2 linked regions of the Nothobranchius furzeri genome follow. The protein of the gene in region 2 interacts with the protein of the main gene of each other region in a pairwise test. Links are inferred from orthologs where the notes say so. Each region holds a gene or a part of one and is shown on either strand. Other genes may lie near its edges. The genes, in order: pam16 and fez1.

Region 1 (15,560 bases), on a different chromosome or scaffold from region 2:
CTCAGGTGTGCAGGTGGTCCCTCATGACCGAACAGACACCCCAACCCCCCCTGCGGTGGACCTGAGCATGTCTCCCTCCTCCCGACACACTCCCAGTTCTCCAGAAACAAGTAACGGCAACTGCATCCCCTCGGGGGTGAGTATGGCACACAGACTCCTGCAGAACTCCCCCAAAAGCTTCAACCTAGTTTAGCTGAAACGAAACCTAACGTCCACTCATGTTTAAGCTACTGTAAATGTCTAGCATTACCGGGGTCACGATGACAGGAGCAACATCGCGCTGTGTCACACGGACATGAGGGAGTGGTTGAGCAAGAGAGGGGAGGCCTCTTATCAAACACGTCTTGTCTCCCCAACAAATGCCTTTGTCTGTGCAGATTGCACTCAGCGGCCCTGCTGGCATGGTGTGTGTGTGTGTCTAATCAGATTTAGGACCCACTACGGCCATGCAGACCTCATGTTGCCTAATTCAATTCCCATGCAATTGAATTGAGACATGCTTGCTAAGGCTATTCAGCCTCCCTCCCTCCCCCGGCCCCTCAGCTGCACACTCATACCCTATATTGACACTGACTGGACACAATATCACAATACTCCTCCTTTATCCCTCCAAACGTCTTACACAGCAGAATTTATGCGTAGAAATAGGCTACACGATTCCCTCAGTGGAGGGGATCGGTCTCGTTTCATGAAATTTGCTCTCTTTGTCTCTCTCCTTTTGTGCTCCCCACTTTATGTCTTGAACTCGAGTTTTATGTTTCATTGTGTGTGTGTGTGTGTGTGTGTGTGTGTGTGTGTGTGCTTCAGCTCTCTGAGCCCCGCGGAGGTTCTTTGAACCTTACAGCCGAGCTGAGGGACGTAGTGAGGTTTTGTAGCGCACAGCGGGAACCTACTCGAAGGAAAATGGAGAGGATTTTTGAAGAGCGAGATGAAAATCTACACTTTAGCAGGAAGAAGCTCCTCTTTTGTTTGTGTCTCATTCGGTTAATCGTTACCTGTTATTGAGCTGATGGTCTGTTTTGAGGAGTGAGCAGCTTCGTTTGAGGAGGTTTTTATTGTTTTCCAAAGCCAGACACACTTGAGCGTTCACTTTCTTCTTCATCTCAGAATTTTAAGGTCTGATTAACTCTCTGTGCTCTTTTTGTGTCTTGCTCCTTTAAGAATCCTCACCTCTCACAGGCGTTTCAGTTCTTTGTGCCAATCGGACCTGGAGCAGGACTTCACCTGCCATCCTCCATGTTCATAGGCCAAACAAGCGATAAGAGAGCCTCTCCTGACCTTTCTGCAGACGAACAACTCGCCTGCCGCTGGAAGAAGGTTCGACTCAGGAACTAAACCATGACATTAGAGCAGCTAAGGATCAAATTGTTCGTTTGAAACTGTTTCCCTCCTTCAGTGCCATTTGCTATTTGACTCCCTGCAAGACCTCGTGGACCACGTCAATGACTTTCACGTCAAACCGGAGAAGGATTCTGGGTACTGCTGTCACTGGGAGGGCTGCGCTCGCAGAGGGAGGGGGTTCAACGCTCGGTGAGAACATCTTTCATCTGGATTTGTGTGACGAATAAAAAACGTGATAAAGTAGTCTTTTGTGTGTGTGTGCTTGTGTCTGAAGGTACAAAATGCTCATTCACATTCGCACCCACACCAACGAGAAGCCTCACCGCTGTCCCACCTGCAACAAGAGCTTCTCGCGCCTGGAGAACCTCAAGATACACAACCGCTCACACACAGGTCAGAGCTCAGCCCAGAGAAGACCTTGTTGCACGTGTAAGGGTTTGATGTGGTAAATGTGTCGTCACTGCAGGTGAGAAGCCCTACATTTGTCCTTATGAGGGCTGCAACAAGCGCTACTCCAATTCCAGCGACCGCTTCAAACACACGCGCACACACTACGTAGACAAGCCCTACTACTGCAAGATGGTAGGCTGCCTGAAGCGCTACACGGATCCCAGCTCACTGAGGAAGCACATCAAAGCCCACGGCCACTTTGTGGCACAGGAGCAGGGCTCCCCAGGTGGGGTGGGCTCTATGCTGAAGGGGAGTCAGAGTGGGGGGCTAGCTAGCGGTGGTGCTAAAGATCCAGAGTTGTCCTACATGAACGGAGCCCACATTATCATTCCTGGAGCAACAGCTGCTCTCCTGGGAGGCCACGCCCTGCAAGGCCTGGGTGGTGCTCTGCCCTTGTCACCCCTCAGCCCGAGGCCCCTGGACCTCAGCACTCTGGGTAGCCCCAACTCCCCTCCACCCATCCTGTCCTTCAGCGGCTCCCCTCTGGGTCTGGCCAAGGCTCCTTTGCTGTCCCATGCATTCCCATCTCCCCTCAGCCTGCCCATGGTTCCGATGATGGGGCCCACATCCGAGCGCCGGGCACAGAGCCACCAGCTGAAGAGAGGCGGAGGAGAGGAAGGAGAGGACGAGCTAAGTGGGGGGGTCCTAAACCTCTCCACAGGGGGGTCTCATGATCCCCTGTCCTGGGTGGTCATCCCTCCAGGCGCTGTGGTGCTCAAGCCAGCTGTGGTTAACTGACACACACACACACACACACACACACACACACACACACATATGCACAGATGCACGCACACACACACACACATGCATAGATGCACGCACACACACACATTCCAGAAGAGCTCAGGGGGTTGGAGGGGAGGGTCCATGCCATCGTGGGACAGCAGGAGGTCGGGTGGAACAATCGACTTGTGGCCGTGCATCAAGAAGATAACTCCGAACCTCACACCCTAACCTATCCAACACACTCCCCTCGGACTGTTGGAGAACTAAACTTGGGACCCAGGAAGTGAATCCAGGAACACGTAGGGCCCTGTAATCATCACAAGGCCTTAGGAACAGGCTCCTCTTGTCTGATACTTCATCCATTCCTGGTGGTTCTGTGGACGAGGACCGCAAACGCGGCCGTCTCAGTGCTCTGTGTTCCTAATCTTACATATTTATGTGACTGTACTTTGACAAGGTGCCTCCAGCTCAGCAGTGAGACACAAACACCACGACTGAAGCACTCATAGGAAGGTTTTTCATCTTTAAAGTTATTTTTCACAGGTTTCTGTGCGATATAATTCAGACAAGCTTGCCGAACCAAAGCAAGTGAACTCAGGCTGTCCTATCTGTTCGGAAGGCAGCTCAGCGTTAACAAGAGCACTTAATGGTGTCAGCTGGTTAAAGTATTGAAACCTCAAAACTGCTGCTAACCTCTCTGCTCCCCCAGTGCAACACAAACTGGGAACGAGCACTTTTCTTTCGACAATCTGTCCCCGGTTTGGGGAGGGTGACCGACACAGACCAGACTAGTCCACAGGTGTGTGCAGACTAGGGGCTTTTAGGGTTTAGACCTAACTAACAGACAGACGGTGTTCCACCACCTGACAGTGACCAATTATTGCTTCTCCTTTTTTTACACAAGTGAAATGTAAAGCACTGGTGCGTTTGACTCCCCCCTCTGGCCGGACGTGATCAACAACATCCTGTACGGTCAACCAGTTTAGACGTAAAACCCAGGTGGTGAGAAGCACCACTGCCTTTAGTGGTTTCACGACTGAAATGACCCCAAAACCAGACACAGGTGGTCTAGTTTAGATGAGATCTTGTGACTAAAAAAACCTGGAGGGGGCGCTCTGTGCTGCTTACGGCCGGACTAGTCACAGGACGCCACACTGACAAACTGCCTCATTTTAATCTGTCCGAAGGGGCAAAGAAAGATTTTTAAAGCTCTCGTGGGGAACGTCTTGTCACGGTCTGATCAAACAGTCGACCTGCACTTATCAGAGTTTAGAAAACCTCCCTTTGGATTCCTGTTTCTATTTTAAACAGTGATTTGCTGTTATTTGACTTTTCTGCACATATCGCTGCCGTGTCCACGCGAGGGAGGACGGGGGCAGCGGAGGAGGGTTTCTAAACAAAGAACACTCTCCTGAAAAGACGCTCCTTTACTCCTCCTGTGATCATGTTCTGATTCTCCCCGTCTGAAGGGCGATTCACCCACCTGTCACTGTTTTATATTTCTGTCGTATTTTTATTTGCTCAGACGAGACATTTTCTTGTGATGTTGATATCGCTTCCTGAGTTTTGGCTGCTCTGCATCAGCTTTCTGCTGTCGGGTCTTTAGAGGGGTTTAAGTCAGGGAGTGAGTGTGTGTGTGTGTGTGTGAGTGAGTCCAGAGCAGTGGATCCTAACCTGAAGTGTGGACTCCAGAGAAAAAACAAAATGTCAAATAGCTAACAAAATTTTTTCCATGAGAATTTATTACCTGTTTTGAAGTATTTTGGGCCTCCGTTCAGATTTCTGCAGACATTCATCTGGTTTGTTTTCGTAGGAACCTGTTAGCCGCTGAGCTAAGTCAAAAAGCACAACAAATGATTACATTTTAATGATAGAACACAAAAGGCCAGTGTACATTTAAAACGTAACTGGGTGTGTTTGAAAAAGAAAAAACAATCTAAACTTATTTAGAAACTAGATTCATGTTGGAAATACTGAAAATTTTGAGAAACATTTGTTGAATCAGAGACTCCTCATGTAAAAATATCCTAAAATGTCTCAAAATTCACACACCTAGGGTACTGTTTGATATTTACCACGACAAAAAGCATACTGGGGGACATTTTCTACAGTTCTGAAGGCCATAAATAAGTGGTATCTTCAGAAGGCGCAAGCCCAGTTGGAACCACTGCTCTGAGAGACAAATGTGATCCAGCGGGTCCAATGACACCATATTCCCTCCTGACAATCACGTTAGTTCACTACTTTTAAAGTGTGAGCGTAATGGAGATCTTCAATAGCTATTTTACACGGTTTCACAAATGCAGACGGGTTAACGTAGAGAGGTGACCTCCAACTGTGAATCGTATGGCTGAGCTGGAGGAGTGCGAGAGCAAAGAGAATGGCTGAATGAGTGAGTGGATGAAGGACAGGAATACAGGAGAGCCGGGGCTGGGAGCCAGGACGGGGGGGTGGGGGGGGTTCATCCTTTGCTGCTGCTCTCCATCTGGCCACCTACCCAGAAAACGCTCCTCTCTGAAGTCGATGGCTGCCCGGTGCCCAGTGTGGCAGCCGCTCTCAAACCAGCACGCAGGAAACTAGGCCACTGACCTCCTCCTGCTCTCCGATCTTCTCTGTAGACCAAACCTCACGCTCAGTTCTCACCTGCAAACTAAACTTTGATGCAGAAAGATAAACTCATGAATGTAATTTAATGTTGCATTCAGGACACACACACACACACACACACACACACACACACACACACACACACACACACACACACACACACACACACACACACACACACACACACACACACACACACACACACACACACACACACACACACACACACACACACACACACACACACAGCGGCTTCAGGTCAGCTACTGAAAAGAGTCATTTGTCTCTGAATGGACCAGCCTGGCATGTGATGTCACCAGGAGCAGGCGTTAGCCAAGCCAGACATGGTCTCCATGGCAACAGTGAAACCCACGGATGAGGCGGCTCCCCTCTTCCTCCTCTGCTGGCCGACGCCAGGGACAGAGACTCAGCCCGGCAGCAGAAACCTGCAGAATGACACGGATCCAAACTGGGTCCACACCAGTTCAATGTTAACTAAGCAGCACGCCCCATTAACCCTTTGAGCTCAGTCTGTAATGAAACTGCACTTTCCCTCCCCGTGTAGACTATGGATATGGGGATGCTGTCTTTGTTGTTGTTTAATCTGCATCTACGATCAGTTGTTTGGGAAATATGAACAATTGTGAAAACTTTGCTCAACATGACTACATTGAAATAATTTTTCCTTTTTGATTTCATGTTATATGAGTGGTACGTGCTCCTGGAGATGTTAAAGCAACCCAAACTCAATGTTACAAGAAGCAGAGCCAAGATCCGGGACACTGGGAGGCCAGAGGTGACCGGTGTTGGAAGTGCCACAGTGTTGCACAAAGGGTTAATGACGAGACCAGGGCCATTCAAGGCTTGTTCAGCTCATGTTTTTGCACATTTGTGAGATATTATGTCAGTATTTTTATTTTTCCAAGTGCCTTTTTACTATAGGTAAATATAAAAGTTCTACACTATAATAAAAGAACCATACGAAACTATATTTTTCCTGAACCATGTTCCGGTGTTGAACATGCAGAATTTTAGAGTTGTAAAGTCTCCAGTTGGTACAACACAGCAGCGTTCTCCTGTTCTAGAGGAATTTTATTACGATATTGATATAAGAAAAAATGTCAATGAAAACAACAAATGTTTAATAAAGTTGCATTTGATAAGTCTGCTTCCATTTTTGTTCCAACAGAAGTTAGGAGCACAAAGCAGAGCAGCGTTTCAGTCCAACACGTAAGGATATTGGATAAAAAGAGAGAAACCAGGACTCAGACACGAGCACTAGGAAGGAGAGGGCTTTATTGGGTTATAATTTACAGAGGATGGGGGGTGGGGTGGGGGCTAATGACTCATGTTTCTGAGTTCTGCTGCGACTGTTTCTGTTCTTGTGTCTGAATATTCAGCTCCTCCTCCAGACGCTCTTTGGCTCGGACCACCTGAACACAAATGGGAGACATCAGAATCAGAATCAGAAAAGGTTTATTGCCATCGTCAGTGAACAAACAATTCACAAACTAGGAACTTGCTTCGATACTAACGTGCTACATATAACATGAATAATATAATTAAAAATAGAATAAAGTAGAATAAAGTAAAATAAAATATAATAAACTAGCATAAAACTTTGCTATAAAAAAGGCGGGTAATGGTAATATGGCCGATAACGTGACGTTATGTCAAGTACAGAAGACGAGCATGGTTGTGTGTTTATAATCTATTCACAAGTCTAACGGCAGATGGAAAGACTTGTGAATAGATTATAAACACACAACCACATCATTGAGAAAACAACCACGGCTCGTATTTTGATCCACTAACGCACAATCAGACATTTTTTACATTCGTGAATTTGCTCTGCAGCAAAAAAACCCCCAAGGGGTTTTTCTTCTAAAGGCAGCAACGTTTTGAGGAATCACACATCCGGGTTCCTTTGTTTCAGAGTCAGGGACTGAAAGCTTTGTGACATCTAAACATTTAACAGAAAAACATCCTTCTGTAACGAGAGATGTTGTAAAACCCGCAGAAACACAAACTCCTGCTGTCATCACACCAACAGGAAGATTAGCAACAACTGGATTTAGTCCAAATTTAAACGGATCATCCAGACAAAATAAGTTGATTCAACAGTGAAAAAGTTCCAGAAAATCTCAAGTTTTAGACTGAAAGGGAAGCAAAGTTAGGAGTTTACTTTCTAAAATTCAGTTATAATAGAGTCCAAAAGTATCCAAGGCTTCAGTATTACCCCATGAGCAGGTTAATGCTACAGAGGGTTGCACCTGTGCAGCCTGAAGGTAAGGGCCACTTACTTTAGACTGGAGGTAGAACGACCCGCCCGCTGACTTGTCATTGACTTTAAACAGGTGCTCATAGTTCTGGAGGACATAAAAACATCAGAATTCAAGTAACGTAACCACTGCTTTAAACATGCACACTCCTACATCTCTGTATGCAGAATTACAGACCTCAGCAATATTATGTAACTTCATAAAATATTTTAAATGCTACACACACACACACACACACACACACACACACTAAGGTTTCTACAGTCAGACATTCACTTAAATCATTTGGTGGCAAATGTCAAATAACTAAATAAACCCTTTGACCTTTGACCATGGACCACCCATCTAAGGAAAAACTGGTTCATGAACGCAATCCTGTGAAGTCAAACATCACCAATAGAACACGGAGCAAAGCTCCTAAAATGTTCACATAATTCAGTAACACACTCAAAAAATAAAGGGAACACAAACACAAGACACCCTAGATCGGAATGAATGAAATATTCTTATTAAACACTTTTTCTTTACATAGCTGGATGTGCTGGCAACACAAAAACCATCTATGGGATGGATTTGGAGTCACTCTTAACAGTTAAGTGTAAAAACAAACCACAGGCTGGTCCTGCGACAGGTCAAGATGAGGCTCAGTAGTGTGTGTGTATGTGTGTGTTCTCCACGTGACCTCCCTACAACGCCTACACATGCTCCTGATGAGGTGGTGGATGATCTCTTGAGGGACCTCCTCCCAGACCTGGACTTAAGCACCCACCAACTCCTGGACAGTCTGTGGTGCAACGCGGCGTTGCTGGATGGAGCGAGACATGATGTCCCAGATGTGCTCAGTGGGATTCAGGTCTGAGGAACAGGCGGGCCTGTCCATAGCATCAATGCCCTCGTCTTGCAGGAACTGCTGACACACTCCAGCCACATGAGTTCTAGCATTGTGTTGCATTAGGAGGAACCCAGGGCCAACCACACCAGCACATGGTCTCACAAGGGTTCTGAGGGTCTCAGCTCAGTACCTAATGGCAGTCAGGCTACCTCTGGCGAGCACATGGAGGGCTGTGCTGTCCCCAAAAGAATTACCGCCCCACACCATTACTGACCCGCTACCAAACCAATCAAGCAGGAGGATGTTGCAGGACGCAGAACGCTCTCCACAGCGTCTCCAGACTCTGTCATATGCGCTCAGTGTGATCCTGCTTTCATCTGTGAAGAGTAAGGGTGTCAGTGGTGAATTTGCCAATCTTGGTGTTCTGTAGCTAATGCACGGTGTTGGGCTGTAAGCACAACCCCCACCTGTGGACGTCAGAAGTAGCCGAAACTGTCAGCAAAATTAAATAAAAGCTTTGCTAATCTGTGACTTAGACAAGAACAAAAAATCAACACGAATAGAAAAGAAACAGAAAGAGCATAACAAGGAGTACTGCTCCTGTTCATCCTTGCACAAAGGTGGAGGTAGCAGTCCTGCTGCTGGGTTGTTGCCCTCCTACGGCCTCCTCCACACCTCCTGATGCGCTGGCCTGTCTACTGGCCACAGCTCACACTGATGAGCCATCCTGGATGAGCTGCACTACCTGAGCCACATGTGTGAGCTGCAGACTCCTCATGCCACCACTACAGTGAAAGCACCACCAGCATTCAAAAGGGACCAAAATATCAGTCAGAAAGCAGAGGAACTGAAAAGTGAAGAAGAAGAAAATATCTTTTCTATAGCGCCTCTCAAGATAAAAATCACGAGGCACTTCACAAAAACAAAAAATGTAAAAATATAAAAAAGAATTTAGAAAATGGTTAAAAATATATTTAAAATGAGCAAAAAATAGACAATTGTGATTAAAAAATGTTAAGAGAGAGAGAGAGAGTGAATAGGAAAGAGGGAAATCAGTGGATCCTGAGGAAGGTGGAATAGGTGGGGAGAAAAGAATAAAGAGAGAGTGGTGAAGAAGGTCACACAAAAGCCAGCTTGAACAAGTGAGTCTTCAGCTGCTTTTTAAAGGAGACCACTGAGTCCACTGATCTCAGGCTCAGGGGGAGAGAGTTCCAGAGTCTGGGGGCCACAGCAGCAAATGATCTGTCACCTTTGGTCTTTAGCCTGGTGCTGCACAACCAGTAGGCTTTGATCACTGGACCTCAGGGACCTGCTGGGGGTGTAGTGACTAAGAAGATCACCAATATAAGATGGTGCTTGTCCATGTAAGGCCCTATAGACCAGAACCAGGATCTTGAAATGAACCCTGAAGTTGACTGGCAGCCAGTGAAGCTGGAGGAGAAGCGGGGTGATGTGGGTGTGTTTGGAGGACTTGGTCAGAAGCCGAGCACAGGCATTCTGAACCACCTGTAGACGGTTCAGGGAGGTTCTGCTCAGACACGTGAAAAGAGAGTTACAGTAGTCTAAGCATGAGGAGATGAAGGTGTGGATAACTGTCTCAAGTTCAGAACGGGACAGAATGGGACTCAGCTTAGCAATGTTCCTGAGATGGAAGAAGGAAGAGCGAACAAGATAACTGACATGAGAGTCCAGGGGGAGAGCTGGGTCAAAGGTCACACCAAGATTCCTGACGGAAGGTTTGGTGTGAGAAGCAAGCAGACCAAGAGAGTCTCTGACTTTGGGAACCAGCTTGTCTGGAGCACAGATGTGGATCTCAGTCTTATCTTCATTCAGCTGTAGAAAGCTCCCAGCCATCCAGGTTTTGATAAGAGTCTAAGCAGGTGTGTAACAGCTGCAGCTTAGACATCTCATGGGGCTTAAAGGAGATGTACAGTTGGATGTCATCTGCATAAAGATGGTAGGAGATTCCTTTGAAGAAGCTCAGGATGTGCTGAAGAGGGAGCAGATAGAGGAGGAAGAGTAGAGGCCCCAGCACAGAACCTTGTGGGACACCATGGGTAAGAGAGGTGGTGGAGGACCTAAACTTGGAGATGGCCACAGAAAAGGAGCGCTCAGAAAGATAAGAGGAGAACCACTCCAGAGCAGATCCTGATAGGCCTATCCAGTCTCTCAGCCTCTCCAGAAGCAGGTGATGGTCAACTGTTTCAAAGGCTGCAGTCAGGTCCAGCAGGACCAGAACAGAACAGTCCCCTGCATCACTGTGAGCCAGAAGGTCATTAGAGACCCTAAGAAGAGCTGTTTCAGTAGAATGAGCTCTACGAAAACCTGTGCTCTGTGATCACCGCCTGCAGGACCACTTCTTCATTGGAGATGTCTTACAGGTGAAGTGCTAATAATTTCCACCTGTTGTCTTTTCCATTTGCACAACAGCAGTGTTGCTTCCTAAGTGGACAGTTTGATAGGGTTAGGATGCCATCAGCATTTGGATCATTATAGTCATGAACGGCAATATTGTGGTTTCTTCTGCTGAGAAACGTCTTTAGATGCTCATCAGAAAAGGTCAAACAGAAGGAGAGGACACAAACTTTAATTTAGTTCATTAAAGAACGTATATGAATGTTGAATCCTTTTCTCAAATGCAACCTATGATGAGTGGATAAAAACAAGACTAAAATAAATAAATTTCTCACTAAATATTACAGAGCACGCTCAGAGAGCTTCTAAAAAATGCCACCAGTGTGTGTGTGTGTGTGTGTGTGTGAGAGAGAGAGAGAGAGAATGTGTGTACCTTCTGGATCTCCTCAGGACTGAGAGTGGAGATGTTGAGGATCTGCTGAGCCTCCTGTAGACTCATCCCAGAGATGCTGGAGGCTGCAGCTGACTGCTGACCTGTCCGACCTCTGGCCCGAGCTGCTGCTTGACTGGCTGATGGAGGAGATACAAAGTTCTACATGATTACACACACAAATGCGCGCGAGCAATGACGGGTCGTACCTGCATATTCCTGTTGTAAAGCACGGGCAAAGGCTCTGCCCACCACCTGGACTCCCATCACTATGATCTGAGCCAGATACTTGGCCTGAATGAGATAAAGACAAAAGGAGGCGCGTGGCTGGTAGTTTATAGACTGGATGTCATTAATGGTTACGTCGCACTCAGGCTGAATACCCCAACACGACTAGCGCGTTAGAGACACTCAGCTAATATTCTGACATTTAAAAACCAAATCTGATCAGATAATGAAGCTAGCGCTGCAGCAAACCACGAATTAATCTCAAAACAACAGCTTCTGTTCACGTTTCAGTTTCAACAACAGACTATAAACGAGAACACATAAACGTGACCTTACCATTTTTAAATATAATACTTAGCCTCCGCGGAAGACGACAGTCTTGTATTCACACATGGGTACTGAAGGTTACCGAAGGAGGTCAAAGTTCAAGCAACATTACGAATTCAAGACTGGCCGTCTTGGTGTGACTATTAAGACAGCGACACCTGCTGGCGAGGAAGTCTAACTGCAGCCTGATGCTTCTAAGGTCACCTGTGCTCTGCTTGTAAAACAGTTGTTACGAAAATTAGAAAAGATGAAAGTATGTAAAACAAAAGACTCAAAAATACTTCATAGAGATAAACAATTCTAAAATTATACATAATAAAAAAAAATAAACAATTAAAAACTGATCCATCTTTCTCATCTGAACCGCTTCATCCTCATTAGGGGTTGCGGGGAGTTGGTGTCACTGGGCGAGAGGGATTTGAACCTGTGAACTTCAGCGCTACCAACCGCGCCACCGTGCAGCACAACAAAGGTGCAGTAAGCTGGAATCTGAGGTTTGATCCAGTTATATAAAGCATCTGCACATTTAACAAAACATCATGCTGTCTTACAAAACTTTGATCAAACCTGATGGCTGACTTCCTATAAGTTTTCTCAAACTGATACCATGTAGATCTGTTTCTTAAAAAGATTCTGATTAATTTGTCCAATAAATGAATAGCTGACCACCATACATGAATCCAAATCCTAAAGAACAAAACAAACTTAATGGTGACACTTTCAGATACGTAAGAATCTAAAACGTATAAAAAAAAGGTAATTAATTATTGAAATGCTTACTCCACACCATGTTAAGGAAATATTCATTACCATCTGCTGCTTTGTACAGTCTATGTTTGCACTCGAAAAGAGATAAAGGAAAAGGGGTGAACGTGCCTTTCTGTATGCAACTCCAGTACATGGAGTGTCCTGCCGCTAGAGGTACAACAGGCGTCTCCTGTGGCAGCAAAGCTAAAAGCCGACTTCTGTGCCCTGGCTTTCTTATGACGGTTTTAGTGTTTGGTTGTTTTTAACCTGTGAACTTCTTACATTTCATTATGACTGGTTTTGCCCCCCCCACACACACACACAGTGTTTTTAGTTTTTTATTGGTCTCTAATTTTTTTTTCATGACCCTTGTTGTACTGCGCGTTGGGCAGCTGACACGCTGTGGGAAAATACGCCTTATTAAAGTGGTATGGTATTATTCTTATACATTTGTTTCTAATATTGCTTTATTTAATAATGTATAAGGTAGTGTGTGTGTGTAGCTGTCATGTTAATTACACTGAAGCAATAGGAGCAGAGTTCATATTGTGTTTATTGCTAGAAGATTTAGAAAAAGTCCACAAATCATTACACTAGAAAGACAGGAAACATAAAACAAATCACTTTATAAAAACACACAATTGAAGGCAAGTAACTCCAATCCAAATACAACAATTTCTGAGCATCACAAGTACGTACAGTCAACACCAAATAAACTCACGTGGCACCTGTCACACGGCTGGCCCAACCGGATTGATCCAGTTCTTAAGAGAATGTAAACAAAAGCCGGGTCATCCGTGGGTCTCTGGTCTTATTGCTGCAGCCCTGAGTGACGACTACATGATGGAAGTTAAGAACACTGTACTGTTTGTTTCTCACCACATTCCAGCAGTCAGAGAAAACCAAATGGTTTAGTGAAATCCCACAATAAAAGTTAAAAGCAGCCAGTAAACAAAAACAAAACTCATTCTTGAAGTATAAAAGATCTCCTTAGAAACTCACAATGGATTATTTTACCTCTTCCTGACGTCTATTCCTGGAAGAACAAAGATTAAAATCTAACTCGGACTAAAACACGACATAATCCTGATAAAATGGCATTTCAGATTTGGCTTGTAAAAAAACATGATGTTAACTTTTAAAATTCCAGTTGAAACATGAACACAGATGACCCTGTTGTTTCATCCAAGGACGCCCCCAAGGGGTGGCATGGGGTGGCTAGAAAATTGCAAGCCCCCCCAGGAGAAGCCAGTGTTGACAAATCATATTAATATTCAGTCAAACCATATATTTATCTAGTTTATTCAAGATATGATTGTAAAACAAAATAAAAATATTACAATTAATGAGTAAGGAAATAATCAGAATAAAAAAATACATATGTTTCTGCTGCTCACCATTTAAAAAAAATTTATCTCCAGTTTTTTGTGTGAACACAGCAACAGGTGAATTAAACAAAAAAATACATTTAAAACTAAAATTTGGGATAACATTTTAAATAACTGAAATGTGTTTTTCTAAAAAGTTTATGTTTGTAAAATTTAAGTTAAATGTTTTGGATACGTATGTTATTTTAATAAAAAAGAACAAAGGCGCAATGCAGCACATCGCCACAGACTAAATTCAACCAGAGTTACCACAATGATCAATTTGGTGCGCCACTCCAAAAATGTCTTTGGCCCCATCTGGCCACCCCATCAAAATTTTCTGGAGGCGCCCCTAGTTTCATCAGAGGAGGTTTTGTACCTGAAGCTTAAATGTTTTTAATCTGACCAAACAGGAAGACACGGCTGTGTCTGAATCTGAAATAAATCAGAGCGATAATTAAAGCTTCTTTCCGGAGTATTTCTCTTATCCGATGGCACCATCTAGTGGCTGACAAGCATATCACACTCCTTCCGTTTTTTTAAAGATGGCGACTTCACGTTTCTTGTTTATAAATGTGCTTCTGTAGCTGACAAACAGCTAAAACACGTTGTTTAACTAGTATTATTCTCATGTCATGTTGTGTTCTCATATATTTATATTTTAGAGACTTTCTTGTCCGTGAAAAGTTCATCAAGTCCGCATCAGCCGAGGTATTCCTTAAATTTGACGCAAGTAAGCGGTAGTCTAACACTATTGGATAGTTCTGGTCAGCACTCAGTTTCCTATTGCACGGAGCTCTGCGGGGCAGGGGGCGTGCTTAGCAGAAAAAAAAAGATGTATTGCTTACATTATATCACAGTACATGATAAGATAATCACTTTTACGGATTTCTGACAAATCATAATTTCTGAAAGGGGAAAACTCCGGAAAGATACTTTAACTCTGAGCACGTGGATGGTTCAGAATACCAGGATGGCCACCAGAGGAAGTGAATCGTTGTACACAATAATGAAAAACTCGTCCAGTTATGTGTCAGAAAGAGGAGGGCTGTTGGTGCGATCACCATCCAACTGACTTTAATGCATAACATGTTCATGATTTCAATGCTTTCATGTGATTGTTTTACTAACATCTTTGTTTAACTACGTCTGATTAACCGTTAAATGATGTTAATCAACAACTAGTCAGAATGAATTCTTTTTTCTATAGTCTTACATATAATTGTTCTGTTGTGAATTGGTTGAAGTGCCATTGTTGCTGGAGCTCAGAGGATTTCTGGGAATGGCGACAAAACACTTGAGTTGTTTGATGTCGGCAGCAGGACTGACCCCGACTCCAGACGCCGTCGTCTCTAATCATCCTGAATGACGGGGAGAGCAGAAGAAGAGGGGGTGATTTACTCAGTCTAACATGGTTGTTGTGGTGTTACAGCAAACATCATAATCCAGGAAAACCGTTAAAAAATAAAAAATAATGTAACGTGTAAAAAAACAAAGATGCAGAAATCCCCACAAAGTTTGTTTTGTAAACAAACATCAGAGTTAATCCACTTTAAGACAAGACTGTTAACTAGGGAATGCTCGACATATCGGCATCTATATCGGTTCGACAAATCAAGCTGGGCAGATATTAACAACCGAGACATTTTTCCATCTTGTTGCCGTTTGTGTATCAGTTTCAGAGGGTGAGGTGGGTGGGGCAGCAGCAGCTCAGGAGGTAGAGTGGGTTGTCCAGTAAATCGGAGGGTTGTAGGTTCGATCCTGGCTCTGACCAGAGAAAGCTGCTGTTGTGTCCTTGAGCAAGACACTTAACCTGCCTTGCCTGCTGATGGTGGTCGGGAGGACCGATGGCGCCAGTGTTTGGA
Region 2 (16,251 bases):
ATTCAGCTTTAGCCACAGTTGCTGTTGTGGCCCCAGAAGAGTACCAAGGTTGATGGAGAAGGTTCCTGAAGTTGTCTTTTGTGTGCATCTTTCAAAACAAATCACACCTTTCAAAGGGCTCACATTAGGCAAAACTCACCAATTGTGCTGTCGTGTGTGTCTACTGCCTCTGTAAACACTCCAACCATGAAAAAATATCTGTCCAGCCATTTTCTGTCAGTGTTTGGTTTTAGGAGTAATGTGTTTAAAACAAGCCAATTCAAACAGTAGAAAGTGCAAGAGAGGCTCTACGCGAGCCCCTCCTGGGTATCGGAATTCCTAATAAAGATATAAACAACAGCATTTACTCCTCCTTGAACCGTCACCTTATCGTGGTGGAGGAGTTTGAGTGCCCTAATGATCCTAGGAGCTATGTTGTCTGGGGCACTTAGTGCCCCTGGTAGGGTCTCCCATGACAAATTGGTCTTAGGTGAAGGGTGAGACAAAGAACGGTTCGAAGGATCTTTCATGGCGGTTAAAACGAAGAGTCGGAGTACCCGGCCCGGAGGGTTACCGGGGTCCCACCCTGGAGCCAGGCCTGGGGTTGGGGCCCGTGAGCGAGCGCCTGGTGGCCGGGCTTTCACCCATGGGGCCCGGCCGGGCCCAGCCCGAACCGGATACATGGGCTCGTCCAACTGTGGACCCACCACCCGCAGGAGGAACATGAAGGGTCCAGTGCAATGCAAATCGGGTGGCAGACCAAGGCGGGAGCCTTGGCGGTCCAATCCCCAGACAAGAAAACTAGTTTTTGGGACATGGAACGTCACCTCGCTGGCGGGGAAGGAGCCGGAGCTTGTGGCAGAGGTGGAGCGGTACCGGCTAGATATAGTCGGACTCACCTCGACACATTGCATTGGCTCTGGAACCCGAGACCTGGAGAGGGGTTGGACACTCTACTTTGCTGGAGTTGCTCCGGGTGAGAGGTGGAGGGCTGGGGTTGGCTTTTTGTTAGCCCCGAGACTCTCTGCCTGTGTGTTGGGGTTTACCCCGGGGGACAAGAGGGTAGCTTCCTTGCGCCTTCGGGTCGGGGAACGGGTCCTGACTGTTGTTTGTGCTTATGGGCCAAATATCAGTTCAGAGTACCCACCCTTTTTGGAGTCCCTGGGACGAGTGCTAGATAGTGCTCCATCAGGGGACTCCATTGTCCTGCTGGAGGACTTCAATGCTCACGTGGGCAATGACAGCTTGACCTGGAGGGGTGTGATTGGGAGGAACGGCCCACCTAATCTGAACTCGAGCGGTGTTTTGTTATTGGACTTCTGTGCAAGCCGCAGTTTGGCCATAACGAACACCATGTTCGAACATAAGGATGCCCACCGGTACACTTGGTACCAGGGCAGCCTAGGTCACAGGTCGATGATAGATTTTGTAGTCGTATCATCTGACCTGCGGCCGTATGTTTTGGACACCCGAGTGAAGAGAGGGGCGGAGCTGTCAACTGATCACCACCTGGTGGTGAGTTGGATCAGATGGCAAGGGAACATGCCGCGTAGACCTGGCAGACCCAAACGCATAGTGAGGGTCTGCTGGGAACGCCTGGCAGAAGAACCTGTCAAGACGGTCTTCAACTCCCACCTCCGGCAGAGCTTTGACCACGTCCCGAGAGCAGTGGGGGACATTGAGTCCGAGTGGGCCTTGTTCCACTCTGCAATTGTCGAGGCGGCTGTTGCTAGCTGTGGTCGTAAGGTGGCCGGTGCCAGTCGTGGTGGCAACCCCCGTACCCGCTGGTGGACACCAGAGGTTCGGGGAGCCGTCAGGCTGAAGAAGGAGGCCTACAGGGCGTGGCTGGTCTGTGGGTCTCCGGAGGCAGCAGACAGGTACCGGATAGCCAAGCGGGGTGCAGCAGTGGCAGTTGCCGAGGCAAAATCTCGGGCGTGGGAGGAGTTTGGTGAGGCCATGGAGAAAAACTATCGATCGGCTCCAAAGAGGTTCTGGCAAACTGTCCGGCGCCTCAGGAGAGGAAGGCAGCAACTCGCTCACACTGTTTACAGTGGGGATGGGGAGCTGCTGACGTCAACTGAGGCTATAGTCGGACGGTGGAAGGAATACTTTGAGGAGCTCCTCAATCCCACCAATGCGCATTCCGAGGAGGAACCAGAGCTGGGAGGCCTGGGGATGGACTGTCCGATCTCGGGGGCAGAAGTTGCTGAGGTAGTCAAACAACTACACAGCGGCGGAGCCCTGGGGGCGGATGAGGTTCATCCTGGGTATCTCAAGGCTATGGATGTTGTAGGGCTATCATGGTTGACACGTCTCTACAACATTGCGTGGTCATCGGGGGCAGTTCCTAGGGAGTGGCAGACCGGGGTGGTGGTCCCCATCTTTAAGAAGGGTGACCTGAGGGTGTGTTCCAACTATAGGGGGATCACACTCCTCAGCCTCCCTGGAAAGGTCTACTCCAAGGTACTGGAGAGGAGGGTCCGATCGATAGTTGAATCGCAGATAGAGGAGGAGCAATGTGGTTTTCGTCCTGGCCGTGGAACTGTGGACCAGCTCTATACCCTTGCAAGGGTGATGGAGGGGGCATGGGAGTTTGCCCAACCAATCCACTTGTGCTTTGTGGATTTGGAGAAGGCTTATGACCGTGTCCCCAGGGGCACCCTGTGGGGGACGCTCCAGGAGTATGGGGTGGGTGGCTTTCTGTTAAGGGCCATTCAGTCCCTTTACCAGAGGAGCGTGAGTTTGGTCCGCATAGCCGGTAGTAAGTCGGACCTGTTCCCAGTGAGGGTTGGACTCCGCCAGGGCTGCCCTTTGTCACCGGTTCTGTTCATCACTTTTATGGACAGAATTTCTAGACGCAGCCGTGGTGTGGAGTGTGTCGAGTTTGGTGGCAGGAGAATCTCGTCTCTGCTTTTTGCGGATGATGTGGTCCTCCTAGCTTCATCCAGCTCTGACCTTCAGCTCTTGCTGGGTAGGTTCGCGGCCGAATGTGAAGCGGCTGGGATGAGGATCAGCACCTCCAAATCTGAGACCATGGTTCTCGACCGGAAAAGGGTGGCTTGCCACCTCCGGGTCGGGGGAGAGGTCCTACCTCAAGTGGAGGAGTTTAAGTATCTCGGGGTCTTGTTCACGAGTGAGGGTAGGAGGGATCGGGAGATCGACAGGCGGATTGGTTCGGCGTCTGCAGTGATGCGGACGCTGAGCCGATCTGTCGTGGGGAAGAGGGAGCTGAGCCAGAAAGCCAGGCTCTCGATTTACCGGTCGATCTACGTCCCAATCCTCACCTATGGTCATGAGCTTTGGGTAATGACCGAAAGAACGAGATCGCGGATACAAGCGGCCGAAATGAGTTTCCTCCGTAGGGTGGCCGGGCTCAGCCTTAGAGATAGGGTGAGGAGCTCGGACATTCGGGAGGGACTCGGAGTAGAACCGCTGCTCCTCCGGATCGAAAGGAGCCAGTTGAGGTGGTTTGGGCATCTGGTCAGGATGCCTCCTGGACGCCTCCCCGGGGAGGTGTTTCGGGCATGTCCTGCCGGCAGAAGGCCCCCGGGTTTACCCAGGACACGTTGGAGAGGTTACATCTCCAATCTGGTCCGGGAACGCCTTGGGGTCCTGCCGGAGGAGCTGGTGGACAAGGCCGGGGAGAGGACGGCCTGGAGCTCCCTAGTTGGGATGCTGCCCCCGCGACCCGGACCCGGATAAGCGGAGGAAGACGAAGACGAAGACGAAGACAACAGCATTTAAATAACTATGTTTGCTTTTCTGATTTTGTAATGACATATTAAATTGTGATTCTCGTTAGATCGTTGTCATAATACAGCAACATTTGAACTCTGGTCAGAATCTCCTTTTAGCCCACGCCCAGGAACTACTGTCAACATGTAGCAGCACTAAATAAAGCAAAGTTTTAACATTGATAACACAGTATCGCTGCACCAAAAGGATCCGGTAGTGAAGTCCTGTAAAAGTGGAAATGTGCCGTTTCACCAGTTGGGAGCCATTTCCGAGTGTGGTTTGTGTCGGGAATGTTGGAACAGAGGAGCTCAGCAAGAAAGGGCTGTAAGGTGATGGGCAAATAAATGATGCTGATGGTGTGGATGGTTGGAAAACATTCGGAGCTCATGCAGGCTGCGCCAGAGGTGAGTTTGGTTGAAGGTAGGAATTCGCAGCCACAATGCAACCCTTGGTCTGGCGGTACTTCAAGTTGGGCAGAGGACTGGAAAGGAACACAACAGCATCTTCTTCAGTAGGAAGATTTGTTGAACATCTGAATTTAATCAAAGGGAATATCACCAAATGTGAAGTTTACCTTTTAATATGTAATCAGTCAGCAGTGTGGGCACCTTCTCGCTGTCCTCCTTCATAGCATAGAGAACTACACAGAAGGGCAGGTCACTCAGTGACTTTACACTTTCTCACAAAAAGAAGAAACTAAACAACAAATCAGTTAGAGGCTTACTTTTTGTGAGCACCTGCAGGTCATCAACAGATGGAGGGATGGCTTTCTTCTCATATGGAATCACAGTGTTTAGATACTGGGAAACAAAAACAAATCACATTTACCGCCAAAGCCATACAGGGCTGTAAAACAGAAAGGCTATGAGAGATCAAATTACGCGTGTATAAAGTGTTAGCGTCAGGTGTCACAGCGTGTTTGTGTGGAAAAACATCCAGGCATCCAGGTCGTGGTAAAATTCTGCAGAGAAAACTCTGCAGGTTTCTTGTTAATGAATACACAGTAAATAATAATAACACAATTAAAATTAATAAAAATTAAATAAAGTAATAATAATAATACATGAAATTTGTTTTTATGTAAATAAATATATAAATACAAAGAGAAAGCAATTTAATAATAACTCTTTTCATTATTAGAGTAATACAAGTCCTTCTCAAAAAATTAGCATATTGTGATAAAGTTCATTATTGTCTGTAATGTACTGATAAACATTAGACTTTCATATATATTAGATTCATTACACACAACTGAAGTAGTTCAAGCCTTTTATTGTTTCTAATATTGATGATTTTGGCATACAGCTCATGAAAACCTCAAATTCCTATCTCAAAAAATTAGCATATTTTACCCGACCAATAAAAGAAAAGTGTTTTTAGTACAAAAAAAGTCAACCTTCAAATAATTATGTTCAGTTATGCACTCAATACTTGGTCGGGAATCCTTTTGCAGAAATGTCTGCTTCAGTGGGGCATGGCATGGAGGCAATCAGCCTGTGGCACTGCTGAGGTGTTATGGAGGCCCAGGATGCTTCGATAGCGGCCTTAAGCTCATCCAGAGTGTCGGGTCTTGCATCTCTCAACTTTCTCTTCGCAATATTCCACAGATTCTCCATGGGGTTCAGGTCAGGAGAGTTGGCAGACCAATTGAGCACAGTAATACCATGGTCAGTAAACCAGTTACCAGTGGTTTTGGCGCTGTGAGCAGGCGCCAGGTCGTGCTGAAAAATGAAATCTTCATCTCCATAAAGCTTTTCAGCAGATGGAAGCATGAAGTGCTCCAAAATCTCCTGATGGCTAGCTGCATTGACCCTGCCCTTGATAAAACACAGTGGACCAACACCAGCAGCTGACATGGCACCCCAGACCATCACTGACTGTGGGTACTTGGCACTGGACTTCAGGCATTTTGGCATTTCCCTCTGCCCAGTCTTCCTAGACTCTGGCACCTTGATTTCTGAATGACATGCAAAATTTGCTTTCATCAGAAAAAAAGTACTTTGGACCACTGAGCAACAGTCCAGTGCTGCTTCTCTGTAGCCCAGGTCAGGCGCTTCTGCCGCTGTTTCTGGTTCAAAAGTGGCTTGACCTGGGGAATGCGGCACCTGTAGCCCATTTCCTGTACACGCCTGTACATGGTGGCTCTGGATGTTTCTACTCCAGAATCGGTCCACAGCTTCCGCAGGTCGCCTAGGGTCTGGAATTGGTCCTTCTCCACAATCTTCCTCAGGGTCTGGTCACCTCTTCTTGTTGTGCAGCATTTTCTTTTCTGCCACACTTTTTTCCTTCCCACAGACTTCCCACTGAAATGCCTTGATACAGCACTCTGGGAACAGCCTATTCATTCAGACATTTCTTTCTGTGTCTTACCCTCTTGCTTGAGGGTGTCAGTGATGGCCTTCTGGACAGCAGTCAGGTTGGCAGTCTTACCCATGATGGCGGTTTTGAGTAATGAACCAGGCTGGGAGTTTTTAAAAGCCTCACCTCTAAACTACCTTAGACCCTGCGGTGTTCCCAGTGTGAATCCCAGTGGACCCACACTTCTATCAGCCCTCTGCTTCTACATAATCCAAGTCAGAGACACATTAGCTTTGAATATTTCTCTCTAGTCCCTCAGTCCATGAGCTCTAAAAGCTTTTAGCCCATCAGACCTCTAACCTCACGTGCCTCCTATCCCTCACACCTCCAGCCTCATCCATCTGGTCTCAAGCTTCTCGGGCCTGCTACACCTCAGAACTCAAACTCTTCTCTTGTAACAGAACACCACTGGCATGAGAGGTTCTCCGCCCAATAACATGAGAGAAGGAGAAACAGCTGGCTGCTACCACTTCAACTTTAGGACAAACTACCCGAGTCCCAAGAAGAAAAACGCCATTTGAAGTCAAGGACAACAAAAGACGTTTGAACGTTGCAAATGGCAGCTGGTGTTTAGCATTATCTGGTTATGCACAGCAGTGCAGCTTTCTAATTTGGGTAGAACCAGGGAAGATACCTGAGAATAGGGGTGAGTGTTCCATGACAGTGTTTGCATTCAAAACCTAGCTTGTTTGCAGAGTCGCTAAATAGCAGATTTAACGTGTTTTGGAACTTACCTGCTTCTCTGTTCCCGGGACTCCAAAGGTCTGTCTAATGCCAGTCTGCAGAATGTTGGACAGGCCCTCCATGCTGAAACGCTACAAGGTAAAACAAGAAGCAAACAAAAACGTTTATTCTGAATTGTCCATGTTTTTCATCGGGGGGTGGGGGGTAAAATGGCTTTCCCATACATGGGGTGCGTAGCTTCATATTTTTAAAGTAAATTAAAAATGCTTAAATTTGACTATGTTACTTTGTTCTGATACAAAGTAGATGACCTTTCATCTTTTTTATTCCCCTAAAGTCCCTATTATGGCCTCTACAGCAAAATGAATAATTTATGCAAGCCTACAGTAGAGGGTTGGTTTGCAAAGCCACACGAGGGAGTTGTCAATCTAAGAAAATGTGCCTCAGTCAACTGAGAACACCAACAGAGAAGAAGAAACGCCAGACATAAAATGGAGCAACCTGAACAAGTACTGGAGTTACCTAATTCTCGACTGCTTTCTACTTGTTAGAGAAAATGTGAATACCTCATGGGTATCAAGCTAACGTATAAAAACAAGTCATCAGTTGACTCTTAAATGATTGCAGTAACAGCGCTTGCCTATCAGCCATCAGCAGACTGGTCCCTAGTGAGGCAGCCATCACAGAGACCTGCTCACCTCGTTTTACCAGCGGTGGGCAGTCAGGGCCAGCAAAGCCTTCTCTGCTGGCCTAAACTTCCTCAAAAACGTAAATGTATTTTTTCCTTTGGTAAATATTTTTAAATCAAAAAATTTTCACTGGTCTATTTTCTTTATATCCTATTATACCCACTTGGTTGCGCTGCTTCCAGTGTTAAAATATCAAGGTTGGGTATTATCCAATCAGATTTCAGCTTTTGTTTTCAGGCAGATTAAGTCTGCCCTAGGCCTTCAGCATCAACCGAGCAGTCCACTGTCCACTGCAAGTGAACAGAGACAATCCAGTTGCGATAGCTAATCAGCTCACGAGTCAGCGTGGCCCACGCAAAACTTGACATGAACGCATCCTGTGATTGGATAAGCGGTAGTTTGAACTTTTCTAGCTCCATTAAGCAAAATATCAAAACTAAACACAGAGATTTGTATCTATAGACAGCCATCATGTATTTTTGAACACCTGATGGCTGAAATAGGAGAAGGGACAGACTTGGTTGTAAATTTACTTGCCACACCATTTTCAAGACGGACCTTTCAAGTAAAAGTGGATCTTGTGAGAGCAGGTCATCTGACTCCAATGCAAGCTGGCTTGTCCCAGCAGGGGAAAGGACTTGTTCGACATTTTCAGGCAAGCAACTATGAACGGTACCCGTGGCTAACAGCTTCAGAGAGCCGCTGCAAGTTATTCTACTGGGAATGCCTGTTGCTCGCATCAGATCGATTTGGTATTTGGAGATTTACTGGGTTTGCCAATTTAAGTTGTTTCACCAAGGCAACAAAGCACGGCTGGGCACATACAAGCTACGATGCTTTTAAAAACCTTTGGGGACACCCGAGTGGATCTGCAGCTCAGCAAACAGGCGCGCAGGGACACGGAGCTCCACAACGAAAAGGTAAAGAAAAATAGGGAGATTTTGAAAAGGCTGATGGATTGTGTCATGCTTTTGGGTAAACAGGAACTTTCATTTAGGGGACATGACGCTGACTTGCATTACCACCTGTCCACCATCAGGGTCTTTACTGGGACATCAGGCAGAATACAAAACAACCTCATTTATGCTATTGCTGAAGTGATGGAAGATGAGATGAAAATGGAGATCAGAAGAGCCCCTTTTGTCACCGTGATGGTTGATGAAACACCGACGTGAGAAACATGGCACAGCTGGCACTCGTCCTGCACAGCCGCAGGTGTCACGGAGCATTTAGTCAAATTTGTGGATGTAACTAGTGGCAGGCGAGCTGATAAACTTGACACACTTATTTTCCGTAATCTTGAGGAATATGAATGCTGTTTGGACAAAGTTGTTGCACAGTGTTACGATGGCGCAGCGGTGATGGCATCTGGACTAAACAGGGTGCAGACTAAAGTTAAGGAAAAGGCACCCTCCTGCGCCAACATGTTCAATTGTTTCGCTGTGCCATTTTCTCCAAAACAAATGCAAATAATGTGTTTGCTTAACTTATTTATTTTAGTGACTCATCTCTTAAACCCGTCTTTCATTTTTGAGATTTGACAGTATCCGTGGTCTTAGTTTCCTACTCCCAATTGTGAATGCGAGTTTGATTTTAAAGGCTCCGGAAATTAAGTGTCTTGACCAGCCACTGGTGTGTGTGTGCATGCGTGTGCGTGTGCGTGCCTGTGTGTGTGTGTGTGTGTGTGTGTGTGTGTGTGTGTGTGTGTGTGTGTGTGTGTGTGTGTGTGTGTGTGTGTGTGTGTGTGTGTGTGTGTGTGTGATTCTGTAAGGATTCTCCAGCTGTGATGTCATATTGATGGTATTTTAAGGTGCATTCGTTTAGATTGGACTGAATAGGAAATCACTGACGGCCCAGGGGTGGAACGCACCTCCCGCCACTGTGTTTTACACATGGTCCATGGGACAGTGAACAATTCTAGCCCAGCTGACCGAAGTGCATGAGACGGAGTGTATCTGTTTAGCAGAGCTGTTAGATAGGCCTTGTAAACATAGGATGGGATTTTAAACTGAGCCCAGTAACACACCGGAAGCCAATGCAAGGGCACCATGATGGACACACACACACACACACAAAGCAATGTATGTAAGACTGATGCGCAAAGCAGCATTGAGTCAAAGGAACGGATTGGTACCACTTATGCTGCCCCTGGTGGTGGAGGCAGTAGAAGGCAGTCTTGCCCTTTATTTATATATTTTATAGTTGAGATTGGACTCTACTTTTACACCTGATTCTATGGCTCATACAGAAATGGTGGTTATGGATGCTGCCTGAGTCTGGTTAGAGTAGCCAAACATAATGGCTTTGGTGTTCATTAGTAAGAGAAAGTTGTGTTCTTTGTGTTCTTTCCACACCTTTATCTCCCTCAGGTACTTGTGGGAGGAGATGGGAGTGAAGATGATGGAGATGATTGTAGAGATGGAAATGAAATGAAAACTAAAAGCTGCTTCATCATTGTGGAATCAATATGATATTTTTCATCTATTGTCCCACCTTGACAGGCATGGTGCTTGTCTTCTCTGAGCCTCCAGTCAATCCACAGCTCCCCCCGTTGGTGGACCCTGTTCCTGCCCCTTGCAGGCTGAGGGTCTTGTTTTGACATCTGCGTTTTCCGCTCTCTCGTTGCTCCTTCTGCCTGTTCTGCACCTCCATTAGTGCTGTTATGAATGTGTTCTTCACCTCTTTTTCAAACTCCAGCTCATCTCGACGTGCCAGTTGGTTGACCAGCTCCTCTGAGTACTCACAGATAGCAGACTCCACCCGCTGCAGCAGCTCAGCAAGTGATGGATCAGACATCAAACTCAGACCTACAGGATGGATTAAACAAGCAATGAAAAGGAAATTAGTGAGTCTGTAACAGGAATCAGGAACCAGGGTAAACAATCTGACACTTTTAGAGTTCTACAGCAGGACCACAACCAGTCTCACACTCACTGGCCCAATAAGTAGCTTTTAGCCACCGTTATAGTCGATGGGTTTGTTCAGTTCAATTCAATTCAATTTTATTTATATAGCGCCAAATCACGTCAAGAGTCGTCTCAAGGCACTTCGCATAATAAACATTCCTATTCAGGTCAGTTCATTAAGCCAATCAGAAATAATGTTTCCTATATAAGGAACCCAGCAAATTGCATCAAGGCACTGACTGTTTGTTTTCACCGGCTGCAAAGCAGGGCATCTTGGACGAAGAGTAATGTCACGTTGCTCCACTAACTTTACATTTATGTCTATGTTTTATGTGTTATGCTTCCAGAATGCATCAAGCTAAGCAGTTCTGATTGGGTAGAGAGGAAATGAAACATGGCAGTAGTGTAAAATATCCTGCAACTTTCAAAATAAAAGACACACTTAGATTTCCTATTGCTTAACTGGATAAAAAGATACGTGGCCTCTGTGGCTCAGAAAATTCACCATGGAACTTGTGGGAACATGCTGCCATCTTTCTCCTGGCATGTTATCATGTGACCTTCCAGGACTAGCTGCATCGAACACATCTTCACACCTGAGTGGTCCCAGTGGGATGAGACGCCCCTGCGAGTTCCCGGTGAAAGCACGTCTATTGTGCTACGCACCGCTTACGCATCTAGCGGAAAGCTCGGGTCAAACTTCACAAGCACAGTAAAACTTTTAAAAATTATTTAAAACTATTAAAAAAGAGAGTGAAAAGTTAAAAGGAATAGAAACGCATGATGCTGGTTATCTTACGTCAGATGAGAAAAAGTGGACACAAAAAATTTGTTATTTAATGGCCAGAGTTTCTATTTCTGAAAACTTCATAGAAGTAAACATATACATTTTAAAAAAGTGTAATTTTTTTTTTCGTAAAAAAAAATTATTGAGCCAACAACATGAACAACAAAACATAATTATTGTGATTGACCTTCATGGGAGCAGTTGTTGTTGGAAGCTTCTGACAGCTGTCTAATCTCCTCTATCAAGGAGGGGTTAATCCTGGAGGAGCAGTGGCTGCTCTCCTCATCATCATCTTCCTCTGTTTCAACAGGATCTGGTGAGTTCTCCATCATCTCCACGATCTCCTCAATCACCTATAGGAAAGAGAGAGACAGAGGAAATCTAAGGATGGACACAAAACTGATGGGAGAAATCTGTAAGACAGATAAGTTTGTAGTGTCCATATGTCAGGAGCCACAAGAATGCTAAAAGCTTCCTCTGTAGCGGTGGATGTCAGAGTTAAATCCATTATTAATGTCTGCACAGACGATGGATGTCTGAGCTGCTCCAACAACACCGCGGCGTACTGTCTGTCAGCAGGTTAATCTTGTTAGATGGAATTACTTTCAAATAAGTGAAGAAAGTCTCAAAAAAGCAATGTTTTGAGTTTGAGAGTAAAGTACAACACAAAGTAAAATAAGTACACAGTTTCTCCATGGAAGTTCACGTGAGTGGGAGCTCAGCATTGATTTTGTTTATGGGTGGAGCCTATTCCAGCATTCAGTCCATTTTACAGGAAGCCAGACATGATGAGCACAGCAGTTGAGCTCAGAGCACAGGAGAAGGCTGCTCAAGTACTTGAGATCAGCTTTGGTTTCTGGAAGACAAAACACGTTTCCAGGAAGAAACTTATTTGTCAAACTGCTCTGTTCATTGTTGAACTTACACACAAACTCCAACATGTGAATGAGAAACTTTCTGATTGGAAAAGGTAATGACCCAGCATGCTAAACCCAAGTTTAAATACAGAGCTATGCTGTCAACTATAAATCACAACGATGCACTTTGTTCATCACTCTGTGTACCGCTGAACTTGACAGCACCCGCCATGACATGACTTCTCTGTTGATGGACTACTTCCAGTCTGTCATCTACTCCGTTCCCTCTACTCCCTTACCCTGTCACCAAGGCCGTTTCCAAATTACTGAGGTTGGATAATTACTGCATAGGCGACTATCTTTCCGCTGCAACCAATAATTTAGCCCCAAGTGGTGCAATGAGTTTCTTCTTATTTCTTAAACAACCGTGGTCGTGGAAAATATGTGAGTCTGTGTGAGAAGGGTCAGATCACTGGCATGCATCAAGCAGAGAAAACATCTAAGGAGATGCAGATATGACTAAAACTGGGTTAAGAACTGTCCAACGCATTATTAAAATCTGGTCTGATGAGTCCAGGTGGACCCTGTTCCAGAGTGATGGTGCATCAGGGTAAGAAAAAAGGCAGATAAAGAGATGCACCCATCATGCCTAGGGCCTACTGTACAAGCCTGTGGGGGCAGTGTTATGATCTGGGGTTGCTGCAGTTGGTCAGGTTTAGGGTTAGCAACAGGATGTGCTCCAAGAATGAGGTCAGCTGACTACCTGAATATCCTGAATAACCAGGTTATTCCATCTTCCCTGATGACACGGGCGTATTCCTGGATGACAATGCCAGGATTCATCAGGCTCAAATAGTGAGAGTGAGGGGGGTCATACTGACCTGATCTGCTGTGATGAGAGGTTCTTCATTCAGGCAGTTGACTTTCTCATTCTTCACATTCATCTCCTCCTGTTTTTCTTGAATCTAAATAGTGAGAGAGGAAATAACTCACATCCAGGAAACTTCTCAGTGGCCTGGTGGTATCGGTGTCTGCCTGAGACTGAGATCAGGGTTCAAATCCAGTTGGGTCGTATCTACTCACACTCCCTGCATGACACTCAGCCCTAAGGGATTGGGGGGTTAAACATGAGCGCGGCCACTGCTGCAGCTCACCGCTCCCCATGGGGATGGGTCAAATGTGGAAATGTAATTTAACCTGTGTGTGATGATGACTAATGTGACTTTTACACTATGACTATATTTGTATGTGTGAGAGGGATTAAAGGGGTGAGTTTACTTTCACAATAGTAACATTAAGCTTAATGTTCAAGCAATTAGACAAAAATAGCCTAGATGTTTTGAGTTTAGCTGTAGTTTTAATTAATTTTGGTAGGGAGGGGACATACAGTAAATATACACAATAAAACGTCGTGCCATTGGAACATCTTGAACAATTCCTGGTGTAAAAACATACTATTGAGGAAAGGCTATAAATCACGGTGAGGTATGTCACTGCACACCATACTGGAATTAGTTATGTAATTAGGATAACCATTGGGTGTCATTTTTTATTGAGCAAAAAGGTGGATGTGACCAGCAACAGCTTGTAAGGGAGTCCTGAAATGGCTCATTCTGGAAGGTACTGAAAATGTCAAGACTAAAGCTGGTGAAATCTTGCAAATCTGGACAAATCGTAAAGAATTTACAACCATTTTTGTACACACCGATGGCTTTATAAAATAAAGTCATAATATGCCCCTTTACAGTTAGTCCAGCAATGGTGGCATTCCTCAGAACATGAACATGAAAATATTAATCTAATCTAATCGCTATGCTCAAACAGGACAATAGCAAGTGTTTTTATTGCTATCTTGAAACAAATAAAAAGAAGGGGTGGCATTTACCTCCTCGTCTGAAAGATTTCCATTGTGTCCATCAGAGTTGGGGCTGTCCCATGTGGAGATGTAGTTGTCAGTTAGGGCGCCCCACACACTGTGGCACGATACAAGCATAAATCACATTAAGGGAGGCAGGGGCCAAACTAACAAGAATGAAGCCACTATTGTAAATTGAGCAGTCAGAAAGTTTTTTTTAACAGGATAAACATGAATGAGTGATGTTTACTAGTTCATGTCAGTGCAAAGAAAAGTAAAAAGCTTCTATCTTCATCTTCAAGTTAAAAGTGAGTCACCTTTGTCTCTGAGCCTTTCTGTTTAAATTGTTTTCTTCCTACTGTTTTGAGGTCTTGGTTTGGCTAAACTGCAACACTATTTAATCTCTATTTAAAGTGCAAGTCACCCCAGAATTTTTTTTTTTTTTTTTTGCTGTAGACACTTGTAATCAATAATTTTGCAATTTAGTGCATCTTAGTTCAAATTTAAATATCCATCCATTCATTTTCAGCCACTTATCAGGAATCGGGTCATGGGGGCAGCAGCCTAAGCCGAGACGCCCAGACTTCCCTCTCCCCAGCTACTTGGGCCAGTTCTTCCGTGCGAATCCCAAGGCGTTACCTGGCCAGCCAAGAGACAAAGTCCCTCCAGCGTGTCCTGGGTCTTCCCTTGGGTCTCCTCCCGGTTGGACGTGACCGAAAAACCTCACCAGGGAGGCGTCTAAGAGGCCCGATGCCCGAGGCACCTCAACTGGCTCCTCCAACTGTCTAAAACTGTCAGTCTCGCACCCTCTTCAGGTAAAAACTCTGCACTGTATTAGAATTTGCATCTGCTATTGGCTAGGAGATAACCTTTGACTTCAGCTTGTACCATAAGGCCTGGGGCACACCAGAGGCGGACGCGCCACGGCGCACCCGCGCTGTAATTTTTAATAAAAGCCATTTTAGCTCATGGGAGTGGGCACATGGGGAGCGCTGCACCGTGTCCAAGAAGCGCCGCGCCGAGGCGCTGAAGATAGGCGCTGGCTCTATCTTCAGCGCCGCGGCACAGCTGTTTACAACATTGTGGAGTACTTTACAACAGACATTACGACGCTGGAGCAGTTTTACAGCACAAACCCAGCCGCAGGTTTGAAAACTTTAAAGTACTATTAATCTTAAAATATTTTAATAAATAACGTACTTACCCACTGTTAATAAATTAGAGTCTCACAAAACACGAAGACAAGTCTGATCACGTCTAAACGATAGACTCCCTTTCCGCTTCCTATTCTCAAGTCCCGCTTGATGTTGTGACTATCACTTTCCAAGAAGCGCTCAGCGGCGCGTCCTGTGTGACCATTCGATTTCTCAAAACCATCAATATGACAAAGTTCCTTAGGGTGCCTTTAGCTGCCAGTAAATTTAGCACCACTTTTGGGTTATTGGAGTCCCTCTCCTACCCTAGTGCACTCACAAACACCCAAGTATGCACACAACAGCCAAAGTGAAGATATCTTAATCCCTCCATGATCAGAAAGCAAATAAACTATGTGTAAAGTTGCAACTGGCTGATTAAACGTGACACTAAAATTCAAAAATCCCTTTCTAAACTTAATTTCCTGACTTGGTTCATCTCCCATGATGTTCTCTTGTTTTACAGTGTACATTACAAAACATGGCGACTTTCTAAATAAGGTGACATCATTTAGGAATATTTGAGGCAGCCAATGACTACTTCTGTATGGAGGAATTGGGAACACTGCACGTAAAGCATCAAATTCTCATAAGCCCAAATCTGACCAAATCAAATCTCAGTTAGTCTAACCAAATTTCCTCTGATGACCATGAATCAACATAAATACGTAGCGGTATACAATATAATGTATAAATGGCTGTAGATTAATGTAAAATAGATTTTAGATAGGGGGTCACTAACTCTTCATCCTGCAGCTGCTCCTCATCCTCCTGGTTGTGGGACTGACTGCGAATGGGAGCCAAGCCCTCCGTCTTGGTGTTGTAGTTGTGGAAGCAGACATTGAGCTTCTCGTCAAACTGATTGACCAGGTCCTCCATTGATTTGAAGCTCATCATCTCAGAAAAGTTTTCTAGCTCTGAGAAGTCTTCACGGTTGATGGGGAGGAGAGGGACCGTGGTGGTGGAAGAGTAAGAGGAGTGGTTGAGAGCAAGATGGTCCAGCTCATCCATCCGACAGGGTCGGAGGTCTTCAAACTCCTCATCCAAGCACACAATAGGGGCTTCCATCATGTCTCGCCTCAGTTTGTTGTCTAGACCCTGCACAGAACAATGAAAGTGGGTTGACTGAGTCACAGAAACAAGTAGAACAAGAGTAGGCACATCCCTGTGATGCTCAGGTTTGGTGAGGGTTTTAATTGTCAGAGAGA

Evidence for each region.
Region 1: the proteins of fez1 (region 2) and pam16 interact in a two-hybrid assay, tested with the Homo sapiens proteins (2 studies listed by BioGRID and IntAct). The link is inferred for Nothobranchius furzeri from reciprocal best matches to the Homo sapiens genes FEZ1 and PAM16.

Annotation. Positions count from the first base shown.
Region 1 is NC_091752.1:57,756,664-57,772,223, forward strand, and holds pam16 (mitochondrial import inner membrane translocase subunit tim16), read right to left. Parts: upstream 11,716-15,560; 5' UTR 11,594-11,715; coding exon 11,591-11,593; intron 11,321-11,590; coding exon 11,236-11,320; intron 11,167-11,235; coding exon 11,030-11,166; intron 7,497-11,029; coding exon 7,431-7,496; intron 6,561-7,430; coding exon 6,474-6,560; 3' UTR 6,407-6,473; downstream 1-6,406. Other genes in the region: zinc finger protein GLIS2b, read left to right, coding at 6-136, 1,162-1,317, 1,397-1,530, 1,616-1,734, 1,808-2,529. UniProt on the Homo sapiens protein: Regulates ATP-dependent protein translocation into the mitochondrial matrix. Inhibits DNAJC19 stimulation of HSPA9/Mortalin ATPase activity.
Region 2 is NC_091750.1:44,547,436-44,563,686, forward strand, and holds the end of fez1 (fasciculation and elongation protein zeta-1), read right to left. Parts: intron 16,142-16,251; 5' UTR 16,115-16,141; coding exon 15,786-16,114; intron 13,969-15,785; coding exon 13,881-13,968; intron 12,961-13,880; coding exon 12,877-12,960; intron 11,492-12,876; coding exon 11,326-11,491; intron 10,253-11,325; coding exon 9,939-10,252; intron 6,888-9,938; coding exon 6,807-6,887; intron 4,515-6,806; coding exon 4,439-4,514; intron 4,355-4,438; coding exon 4,289-4,354; intron 4,196-4,288; coding exon 4,179-4,195; 3' UTR 3,987-4,178; downstream 1-3,986. UniProt on the Homo sapiens protein: May be involved in axonal outgrowth as component of the network of molecules that regulate cellular morphology and axon guidance machinery.